Linked DNA regions of Arabidopsis thaliana. Each later gene encodes a partner of the first gene's protein in a complex. Each region holds a gene or a part of one and is shown on either strand. Other genes may lie near its edges.

Region 1 (6,433 bases):
GAAGAAAAGGAAGAAAAAGAAACAAAGTGAGGATTCAGAGACTGAAGAAAACGGCTTGAACTCTACCAAAGACGCAAAGAAGAGAAGGAAGAAGAAGAAGAAGAAGAAGCAAAGTGAAGTCTCTGAGGCTGAAGAAAAGTCTGATAAAAGTGATGAAGACTTGACCACCCCATCTACATCAAGTAAAAGGGTGAAGTTTTCTGACCAAGTGGAGTTTTTTCCTAGTGATGATGATGAAGGAACGGAAGATGATGATGAAGAAGAAGTTAAGGTGGTGAGGGGTAAGCGGTTTACAAAAGAAGAAGATGAGATGGTAAAGAATGCTGTATTAGAATACATTGATAACCATGCTTTAGGAGATGAGGGGATAAAGATGGTTATGGAATGCAAGGCATACCCACAACTTAAAGGCTGTTGGAAAGAAATTACATCTGCTTTACCTTGGAGGACTTATAATAGTGTGTATCATCGTGCACATACTATATTTGAAGCAGGATCTCAGGGGATATGGACGAAAGAGGATATTGAACTCGTTATGGAGTTTCAAAAGACACACGGGAATGATTGGAAAACACTTGCAGATGCAATGGGTAAGCACAGGAAGCATGTGAAAGACGCTTGGAGGAGAGGAAGATTGGCAGGTAAGAAGAAAGGACATTGGATGAGGGAGGAGTATCAAAACCTCTTTGACCTTGTCAACAAAGACCTTAGAATGAAAGCATTCAAAGAGAAACACTCAAAACATGGTATGCTCAAAGATAACATCCCTTGGATGGCTATAAGCGACGTACTTGAAACACGGGACCACGTGACTTGCTGCCAGAAATGGTATGAGCAGTTGATATCACCAATGGTAGCAAAGGGAATGTGGGCTAACGTTGATGACTATAGGCTCTTGGAAGAGCTTTTGAAACTGGATGCTGCTTGTATCGACGATGTGGATTGGGATAATCTTTTGGAGAATCGAGATGGAGAAGCTTGTAGAAAACGGTGGAACCAGATGATCATTCATATCGGCGTACCGAAATCGAAAACATTTGCAGAACAAGTTGAGATTTTGTCTGACAGGTATTGCCCTGACATAGCTGAGGACAGAGAGGATTTTGACAACAGACCCTATGATCCTGAAGATTAAGTTTGGAACCATACCTTACATGTTTTTCGGTACTTTTTATTGTTTGATAATATGTGTTGGTACTTTCTTATGTCAGCAGATAGAAACTCTGAGAATGTATTTGATTTTGATAACCCAGACTATTATATAAATGCTACAGTTGGTTTTGACAAAAAAAAAAAAAAAATGCTACAGTTGGTTTTGTTTGGAGCTTTTGTTGGAAGAGTTTATCAGCGACAACAATGAGTTTAGCCAGGTTTTAGATACAGTCACCAAGGACGATAGCAATGGCAATTAAGGCTTGTAAATTCGGTAATGAATGATATGAAATAGTGAAGTAACCACCCGAAGAGAGTACTAGTATTTAGTAACGTATAGATTATTTCATAGCATTTGGTATTCGAGATAAATGTATCATGAGATTGAAAACTCATAGTTTGTATTTGATGAAAGCTAATAGAGAGCATATTTGCCGCGATTATTCTCTTGTGTTGACTCTTCTATTTGTAGCCATAGCCTATAGGACTTACCAAAGGTTTCGTTAGACAGATATTAACACACTAATTTATCCATCTGCTTGGTACTAAAAAGGTATTTTGAGAGTAACATTGTGGTGGGTTCTCTTCATGTCTCTCTTCGATTTCTTCCGAACACTTAATATGTAGCAAACAAGATTGATATATGGTAGTCACTACCTTTTCCACCACCAGAATCTGATCAACTAAATGCAGAGTACACTAAAGAACAAAGGTAGCAAAACAACGAGAGATTATAGCCAATCAAGGATTATAGCAATGTGAACTTAGTTATTCCAAGAATTACATCTATCAAAACGGTAAAGTCATTACACAGTCACACTGTGACCAAATCAAATCGAACTGGCAATGTAGCAATCACCATGTCGATATATATATCACAAACAGTGCCAAAAAGTCTCAACCCATCTTAACAGACTATGAACCACCTTCAGGAGTAGTAGTTCTCAGCGAGCTTCGTATTGAACAACTGCAAGAGAATAAACCATCAAATAAATTAGCCGGAAACAAGTTTACAACATCTACATTTTGTACAAGAAAACCAACAGATTAACAATCTCAAGATAAATTCGGAAACCGGATCCTTAGAACATTTGCGTTATATAAGACACACTGAAAATCGTTCCATCAGTATCATAAACTATGATCAAGACTTAAAAAAGGATCCCGATATCATGTATATGTTGAGACGCATTCAAAATGGTGCCATCACTTTTATAAACTAGGAACAAGATCCAAAAAAAGAGGAATCAAAGAAAGCTAAAAACATTACAAAACAAAAGGAGGATTAAGAATAAGTCACCTCTACGGGTACGCTTCTTGTAGAGAATACGGTACCCACACTCTCTGCATTGGATCACATCCCCAGACTTCAAAGTGTTCTCTTGACCACAATCTGATGATACAGAAAATAAGAAATTAAGCAAACCCATAAAACGAAGACAACCTTTTTACTTATGAATTTTGGTTTAAAAGTGTATATGTCTGAGGCTGCTTGGGAGAAGCTTGATACTTAGCAGAAGCAAAGCTCCTCCTCAAAAAGACCTCAAGTCAAATAGATCAATACAATACAGTAAAGTATTGATGATCAAGATTGATTTATGCCTCCTAACTAAGCCAGATTATGAAATTTCCTAATAGATTAGGATTCATATGGCTACTCAAAAGAGGCAACTTTAGCATTTACTTTCACAAAGCTACAATCTTTTACAGATACTAACAAAACTTTGATTTCAAAGCAAAATTAGATGTTCGATGAAGTTTTCAAGTCGAGCTTACCTCCGCAGACGTAAGTAACGGGTTCGGGCGCTGGATCCATGATTCAACAAAGAAACAGTACGCAGAAGTTGAATTTGTTTCAAGCCACCGGACAAGATGTAAACAAAACCTTGAGCGTCTAAATTTTCTCAATTGGGATTTTAGGGTTTTTGAGGAGGAATTAGAGGTTTTAATAATTTCGGTCGAAAAGACGAGGAAAGAGATTCGTATGGGCTTCTTAACAAAAGTCTATGGGCTTACAGAATAAGCCCAAATAAAGTTTCGTTGGTCAACCTTGTCTGTTTGACTTTATGCCACATACTTGTTGCTATTGGCACTTTGTGTTCTAGAGTGAGATATAAAAACTCTATTATCTGCCATAATGCAACAAATTTTTAACATGATAACAATGTCTAGGATGGTCTAAAGTACATACAAATGGGTGGATTGATTCTTAATATAGAAAGAATTGCGGATGGGATGGTCCAAATTCCATCTCCGCAGATCAGACCTGAAGCTACTGCACCCGAGTAATCATCTGCGTCTTTCTTATTCATCCGTTCCCATACGAGCATTATCACGGTTCCTACGAACATGTCGATGGCGAAGTAAGCTCCTATGTAGAATGGACCAGCCATTGCCATTGGAAGTGGTATCAACTTAGAGATCTTTGGTGGTGTCATGTCTCTAATTAGATTTACAATCAGAGCAGCGATGAAGAATCCACAACAAAGTGCCAAACAGTGTTTGGGCAGTTTGGCAAAGCCTTCGACCCCGAGAATAGCCATTTCGCGGTAGATGACCGCGTAAGGTGCTTTGTATAGACCATCAGGATCTCCAATATCAAAAGCAGTCCAAAACAGCCAGAACGTGAGAGGAGCGATTATGCAACCCATTGCTGTACCCAAAAGCTGAGTTACAAACATGGATTTTGCAGATGATAGTGTGAGGTAACCTGTTTTAAAATCCTGCATGAGATCCGCTGCAGTTGAGACGATTGACATCATAATGCCACATGCTGCTAAACCGGCAATGACTCCACCATTATTTCCTACAATTGAAGCAACGATGAAAAGACCAGTCTTTCCGTAGGTTGAAGGCATGCTCATATCTGTGAGCCCGGCTCCATAAGAATTGCAAAAAGCAAGACCCGGGGCAACTAAGTATGAACAGAGGACAAAGTACCATTTCAATGGTGGGAATATCAACGGGATTATAGCGGTTGAAATAGCTGCAAGACCCACATAACCAGAAACCGCAAACTCGAGGGGTATACGGTCCTTGAGAAATATGATATCTCTTTTCTTCTTCTCCCGCATTAATACTGAGGTCTTACTTTTATCTGAATTAAGAATGGAGAAAGAAACTCTTAAGAAAATATTTGAGACAGACGTTGTCAGTATGGTCATGAGAGACACCTTTATTAATAACTATGACTATTACTAACAAACGCGATTGTGAATCAGGATCATATATATTCGCACCTAAAATGTCGGTAAAGACAGGTAGGTTGTGTTGTCTGGAGCTTTTGTTGCAGATTTCCTTCACAGTGACAACAATGATCTTAATGAGGTTGTAGAGACCGTCACCAAGGATGATAGAAATGGCGATAAATACCTATAAGTACAGTAATTATATGAAAGAGAATCAGTAACCACCACAATGAGAGTACCTATGAAATTCATCTACTAACATTAAATTCTTCCTACTTAATCGGTTTATTGTGTACCTTATATCCATAGAGACCTTTGAAATCGTTGGCTTTAAGGTCAGCTGGATACCAGTCCCCAGCATGCTGTGATATAAATGGCCAGAGAAAACCCCAAGAGATGATAGCACCAAGAAGAACCGAACAGTTCACCAAATGGGGACATATCATGCCACATCCAATAAAAGTAGGACTGAAATCAAAGTAAAACCTGCACAGCAGAAAAAATCATGACTCGTTACCAATTATATCCACATGCTAAACCATTCTCATTTACTTATTGTTAAACTGTACGAAATTGGTTAACTTACGTGTTCTTGAATAGAGTCAAACCAAGTGTGGGAAAGTGATCAAACCCACATGCACCTCCAATACCACTAAAGAACCACTTGAAGCAACTCCAAACTAAGCTAAGGCTCAGGTATTTCCCAAGACATTTGACTTGTTTTCTGATGTGAATAATATTGGAGATAAATTTTTAATGAAACTCAAGCAATGTTTTGCAGGGAGTTGAATATTGAAGATGAATCTCTGACAATTACCCTGCAAGCTCAGCTCCAGTATTGTTGTGGAAACTGTTAATCAACATTGCTGTAGCGGTTCCACTGGGATACGTAAGCTTGTAATCCAAAATCATCACCTAAGATACACTATTGAATAAGGATCAACAGATCAAACAATAGTGTTCTCTTAGATATTTTGTTTTGATTAATACTAATATCGCAGTAATGAGACGCTACCTTGCGAAGTGGAACGAGACAGAAGAGACCGAGGAAGCTAACTACAAATAAAAAGCCAGTCATCCACCACAATCCAGGATTTATAACATCTTCAGGATTGTTTCCAGGATAATCAGAACCAATGAGCTTATATGTCCTTTCATCCATAGCTATCAAATACGAACCAAATCCTCCTAAAAAAACAAGAAACTATATCAGATTAGGCACACAAAAAAATCAAACTTGATCATCATAAATCTGGAATAGCTACAGTTCCCTTCAGCAAAGTCATCAAGTGGATCCAAAGTTAGTATCATCCATATCTCCCATTGTTCATCATCAACACATAGGAATTGAAACTAAACGTAACCAAATCAAGAAGATTACTATTAACCCATATCTAAGCAAGTAACGATTTTTACCGCTATAAGCAAGGCCGTAGCAGGAGACAACGCAAGTCTGAATAACAGTGTTCTCTTGCTTAGTAAAGGGTTTAGATAAAAACCCTAATTTAGACAAGAACCCAGTCCACGACTTGATGAAGAAGAAGCCGAGAAGACCAGCAGCTACATTAAGCGAAGGAATGATTCCGATTGTTAGATTGAGCTTATGGGTAATGATACAGAACAAAATCCCTAACAAGGCGCTAGAGATCAAGCCTCGAATCGTGATCTGTTCCTTCCACTCGGGTACATATTCACCGTGATCTAGATTCGTTTCTGGTAACAACAATGTCTCTGATATCTCCGTTGACCTAGGAATCTCCGTCTCCATAACTCCAAAAAGCTACTTCTTTTAAAAAAATTGAGAATTTCCTGCAGATTTCGTCAGAATAAGTACATAACTTTTTGGGAAATGGTCAGTATTATTTTTTCAGTGATTCCTCTCACTCTCAGAGAAGAACTCCATTGGAGAAGGAAATGGTAGTTGATGACGAATTGCGGTTATAGACTTTAATAAAGTCTCCTAATCATTGATTAAGACGTATAATTTGGTTAAACCAAACCATATTTTAAAGTAGTTTTGATAAACTCGGTTTAGTGTGAACCAAAAGAATCAGTTATGAATTTTGGTTTTGTAAAATTGGTTTGGTTTAATT
Region 2 (5,514 bases), on another chromosome or scaffold:
TCTCGCGATCTTAATCTCAGCAGAAGAAGAAGAAAACGGAGCCATTGTTCTCGTAAGCGTAGAGATCTTCATCTCTCTTTTCCATAGATGAAGAGAACCTGATGATACCATTCGGCGCAAGGCCAACATTTTCCAAACCCTAATTTTGATAACCCTAATTCTCTAATATATAAAACAATCAAGTTGCCTTGTTAAAATCAGGATATGATCTCTCTTATATTAGTAGGTTACTTACACAATTACCTACATCTTTGTCGATTTGTCAGTTTGACTTATGAATCAGTCTACTAGATTGTAAAAATAAATAAAACGATGAAATGTCTATAATACCCCTAACTCTACACACGTGTGAACTTTTTGAATAGTACTGGACCCGGGTCAACCACACACAGTAGACACGAGCCTTCTTCTTCTTCTCTAAGCGAGTGAAGTAAGCTTACCAGTGGCAGTGAGTGAGCTCTTACCAGTGTTTAGGGTCTTCTGCAATTTTCCTTGTTTTGATCGGGAGCTTGATCAAGACTACTGATGCTGAGATTTACGAAAATTGCCAACGGTCTCTATGTTCCCGGTGACAGTGAAGCTCTTTACGCTTCCAAGTTTCAAGACTCCACTGCTACTTTGACTTCGCCTATCTCGCTGGTACAAGGTCTGTGGAGGTTACAGTATGGGTGATAACCTTTTCCTTCTGCGAGGAAAGCATTGTCTCGGCTTTTACTTTTGTTCATAACTTGTGGATATTGGATAGTAAAGCCTACCACTAATGGCATAACATTCAGGATGCTTCTTGGTGTGCTATGATTTGTTATAAGCGAATCACTCTCGTTGGCTAAACACTTTGAGAAAATGACTCTTAAAATGCTCTCTTGGGCTATACTGGAAACTTGCTGTGTTCAGTGGATCTTCAGGTCCTTGTTGACAACCATTAACAAGCTTAAGGTAAGAATAAAGAAACCAACAATACTTTCAGTCCTTTGATGATTTATAATTCCATAACAGACTAAGGGCAGTGCATATAGATATCTTTCGTACTCATCTGCTTTTTCTGGTCTCCATCACAAAAGCCAACTAGGTAATCATATCAATCTCTCTTTACCGTTTACTCGACCTTTTCCAATCAGGTGCTTCTGGTGTGTCTACTACTATCAGTTTTAGGTCTTTGTATACCTGATCTTATCTGCTACTGAGGCTTGTAAAAGTGATTAAAACTGTGACATTTACTCTAAGAGAAGTAACCTGTTTGATGCATTTCCCTAATATACCGGTGTGGAAAAGTGTAGGTATCTGTACTCAGCTGAAATGGTGGACGATTTTGAAGAAGATGAACTCTCATTGACTGAAAGCGGGTTGAAGAGTGAAGATGGCGTTATTATCGAGATGAATGTCTCCTGGATGCTTTTATTATCATGTTTGGGAATTTACCAAGGGAGAGGTATCAGAATCTATCTTAGAAGGTTACATTTAGCTCAAGCTTGCATCAACATCTTTACTTAGAGCTCTACGGGTTTTAGTGTGTTTGAAGTTTCTTAACTCCTAGTATAATTAGAATCTTCTGCAGCAGACTTTAGAGTTTTGGGATGTAGAGCTAACCAGAGTCGGTTTGTTTAAACTAGAATCTTTTTATGTAGCAGACTTGTTCAGTACCTGAATACCAGTTTTAAATTACCGTCAGATGTTGATCTTGTTGGTAATAATGGAGAAACGGAAGAATAATTAGACGAAACAAACTCTTTAAGAACGTATCTTTCAGTTTTCCATCACAAATTTTCTTACAAGCTACAAAAATCGAACTATATATAACTGAACCGAATTTAAACCGGAGGGAGGGTTTGACTTTGGTCAATCACATTTCCAATGATACCGTCGTTTGGTTTGGGGAAGCCTCGTCGTACAAATACGACGTCGTTTAAGGAAAGCCCTCCTTAACCCCAGTTATAAGCTCAAAGTTGTACTTGACCTTTTTAAAGAAGCACGAAACGAAAAACCCTAAAATTCCCAAGCAGAGAAAGAGAGACAGAGCAAGTACAGATTTCAACTAGCTCAAGATGATCATCCCTGTTCGTTGCTTTACTTGTGGAAAGGTTGATATTTTCCCCTTCGCTTTGGTCTTATTTAGGGTTTTACTCCGTCTTTATAGGGTTTTAGTTACTCCAAATTTGGCTAAGAAGAGATCTTTACTCTCTGTATTTGACACGAATGTTTTTAATCGGTTGGATACATGTTGGGTCGATTAGAGAAATAAAGTATTGAGCTTTACTAAGCTTTCACCTTGTGATTGGTTTAGGTGATTGGAAACAAATGGGATCAGTATCTTGATCTTCTCCAGCTCGACTACACTGAAGGGTAAGCTTACAATGATTCTCACTTCTTGCTGCTCTAATCATCATACTTTGTGTCAAAAAGAGAGTAATTGCTTTGCGTTTTAGAGAAATTAGCCCAGATTTCGTATTGGGTCTGTGAAGTTTCATATTAGCTAACACACTTCTCTAATTGATAACAGAAGCTATAAAATAGATTTGCTGATGAAGGAGTTAGCTTTTTATAATCTTCTGTGTTTGTGTTTTACTGTCTGTGTCATTGGAAGAGACTATGTCCTGCCTATATAATCTCTATGTGCCTATCTAGATTTTCTATACAATTGATATTTGATAGAAGTAGAAAGTAAGACTTAAGGTCTTTTGATTAGACTTGTGCCCATCTACATGATTCTTATTGGACTAATCATTCTTTGTGTGAAAATAGAATACTTTGTCTGAACATGAGAGAATGGTTCATAATACGTGTGAAGTATGGGATTAGTTCAACAATTTCGCTATTGGAGAAGCAAACCAAGGGTTAATCGTTTATAGGGTTAAGCTAATGCTCTGCTCTTTATATGTTATTGGAACAGACTATTGTTGTGCCTATCTTGTTTAGTTGTAGATTCTATCTCGACTGTTATAAGTATGACTGAAGGCTTGATGACTTATGATTCTCTTTACACCTGTAGAAGGATTTAAGCTTGGTGTCTAGATATTCAATCTGTGTTGGTTTTGTCTTTCTTTTGGCTCTTAGTGTTGTTCAATCTCCTCAATAGGTATGAAGTTACAATATCCTTATTATTTTGCAGGGACGCACTTGATGCACTCCAGCTAGTCAGATACTGCTGCAGGCGTATGCTAATGACTCATGTTGATCTGATTGAGAAGCTTCTCAACTACAACAGTATACTCTCCAAACTCTTATCATATGTTGTGTATCTTTTGACTCGGACGTTATTGTCCTTTTCGATTTATTTACTGGTACCCACGTACTTTTCCTTGCAGCTCTGGAGAAATCAGACAACAGTTAGAAGAGGATGCAAATCTGCTGAAAAAGTTTTCCTCTTTAGAGGCTTAAATATTAGTATGTATGAAAACATTTGGTGTATGTGGTGTAGACCCTTCAACTCCATCTAAAATTATATATGTGTGTCAGTTACTTTCTCGTGTGATTCAATCTCATGATTTCCTGACCTTGAAGATTTCTCCTTTGGATTCATGTTTCATTAGTATTATTGAGGTGATTTTCATGGCCATAACTGAAAACCTTTGAGAAAAGAGTTAAAAGTCACTGGTCTTCATAACCTTTTGTATACAAAACGCAAGTACAACAGAATCGTCCAACTGTTTAGTGTGTTCAGGCTCGGGCAAGAGTTTTCAAATCTTCCAAACGAACGGTTAAAATAAAATGTATAACCAAAGAAGAATGAAGAACACAGTGTAATCATATCTGGCTTATGTAACCCGACCCCGTTCTTAAGGGAACATATCACATTCAAATCTCCAATAACGATCCCAAACCACATAAGATGTGTTATTAAGATCCAATTAATCGGGACTAAAACCAATTCGAGAGAACAAACGAACGATGACTCAGTACCCATTAATCTGTCTTCCTGTTGTTGTCGATCCTACCAACCGAGAGAAGGGTTGCTGCTGCGTTTGGTTGTTGCGGCTTTTGTTAAAACTGTTGCTGCTTCCAATTCCAGATTTAGGGTCAGAGAAAGGAGAATAGGCTTGAGCTAGCTCAAGAGCAGAAGCTGCTTTTCCGTGACGAATCCCTGTTCCATTTGGTGAATCCAGTTTCTGGGGAACCGGCTTTCGCCATGTCTCTGGTGATGGATGTCTTGTCTTCTCCTGAGTCTGCTGTTGCTGTCTTGCGCTCTTGTTTTCATTTTCACGCCAGTTTCTCCTCTGAGTTTCGGATCTGGCAATGTCGCTTACATTTCGCCCATCCTTTTGGTCGAATTTCCTCGTTCTCATGTCACGTGGAGAACTCACTGGCCTTTGACTTGCATGCTCTGGAACTCTTTCAATCGGTTTGAGGACCATCCTTTTGATATAAAAGAAAAAACAAAAACAGAACTTTAAATTAGATAGTTGGTCTCAATGGAATCGTAAGTGTTGGATCGCAGAAAGTATACACAGAATGTGAGTGGGTAGAGAAACCCGTTCTACCTATCTGTCGGTTGATCCAATTTGTGATGCTCGGGCTCATCAATGCCTCTCTCCTTCAACACCTGTCCAGGAAATCAAATGATGATAAACAAATGGACAACATAACAAGAGTGAGTTATACAACAAGATGAAACAAACTGCACTCACCAGCTCTCGTGGTCTGGCACCACCAAAAACCGCACTTCTGCACCAGCCAGTACAAATTTTAAGAACAATTCTTCTATATAACTATAGTTATGTCCCCAAGCTCCAAAATAATTATTACCGAGCTGGGACAAAAAAATGTAAGTACCACATTGTTACCTGTCCTTTTCAGTTTTAACTTCTGGCTGCTCAAGCAACTGTGCCACAGGCTTCAGATTCAACTTGGGCCGCTCAGCCGGCTGGTTAGGAATCTCATCTGTAGACAAACCAGATTTTGAATTGTTGAAACTTTTCTGTGTCGCATTTTCACGTTGTATAAGGACTGAAGCACTATTTTCCTGCAGATACAAAACTGAGGTATCAGAAACATAGTTGAGGAAAAAAGAAACCTGAAAACTAAAGTGGCAGTTCAGAAACTTGTAACAACTATACCAGTTTTTCGTCATTCACAGGTTTCTCCACACTTTCAAGTGGTTTTGTCCGAGGAAGCAGGTTCAGCTTAGGTCTTTCCACAACTTCAGAAGGGGCAGTTGGCTGCACCAAATGTCCAGCAGGCTTAACGTCAGAGTATTTTGGATGAGGTTTATCGTTGGTGTTTGCTACAATTTTCGCTTCCTTAGCATCCACATAAGTTGGACCAGGGATTTTCTCATACTCACGGGAGAGTTTTTTCCCACGCTGGATCCCATCTTCAGCAATCAGTGCCCGTTCTACATGTGTTCCATGTGGCTCAACCCCTTGACTAATCACAGGGCTATTAGTCTTATAAACTCTGGTATCTATCTCTGAATGCTTAACAACATCAAAACCCATCTGAGAAGGAACCAAAAGCTTGGACTGCCATCCTCCTGAAGACACTTGGTCAAGCGCACTTGTATGGACCAAATTCGAAACA

What was found.
Region 2: NRPB12 (region 1) and NRPB10 share a complex: the UniProt entries of both Arabidopsis thaliana proteins name them as parts of the RNA polymerase II.

The regions. Positions count from the first base shown.
Region 1 is NC_003076.8:16,420,585-16,427,017, reverse strand, and holds NRPB12 (DNA directed RNA polymerase, 7 kDa subunit), read right to left. Parts: upstream 3,100-6,433; 5' UTR 2,969-3,099; coding exon 2,929-2,968; intron 2,773-2,928; exon of another isoform or gene 2,629-2,772; intron 2,546-2,628; coding exon 2,453-2,545; intron 2,120-2,452; coding exon 2,097-2,119; 3' UTR 1,694-2,096; downstream 1-1,693. Other genes in the region: AT5G41025 (uncharacterized protein), read right to left, coding at 67-339; AT5G41020 (myb family transcription factor), read left to right, coding at 1-1,135; YSL4 (YELLOW STRIPE like 4), read right to left, coding at 3,321-4,249, 4,392-4,524, 4,637-4,826, 4,927-5,064, 5,158-5,255, 5,356-5,528, 5,757-6,108. UniProt on the Arabidopsis thaliana protein: DNA-dependent RNA polymerase catalyzes the transcription of DNA into RNA using the four ribonucleoside triphosphates as substrates. Component of RNA polymerase II which synthesizes mRNA precursors and many functional non-coding RNAs.
Region 2 is NC_003070.9:3,860,478-3,865,991, forward strand, and holds NRPB10 (RNA polymerases N / 8 kDa subunit), read left to right. Parts: upstream 1-1,921; 5' UTR 1,922-2,042; coding exon 2,043-2,078; intron 2,079-2,281; coding exon 2,282-2,340; intron 2,341-3,106; coding exon 3,107-3,201; intron 3,202-3,302; coding exon 3,303-3,328; 3' UTR 3,329-3,597; downstream 3,598-5,514. Other genes in the region: AT1G11470 (Pentatricopeptide repeat (PPR) superfamily protein), read right to left, coding at 1-45; AT1G11480 (eukaryotic translation initiation factor-like protein), read right to left, coding at 3,891-4,350, 4,476-4,537, 4,623-4,659, 4,779-4,957, 5,052-5,514. UniProt on the Arabidopsis thaliana protein: DNA-dependent RNA polymerase catalyzes the transcription of DNA into RNA using the four ribonucleoside triphosphates as substrates. Component of RNA polymerase II which synthesizes mRNA precursors and many functional non-coding RNAs.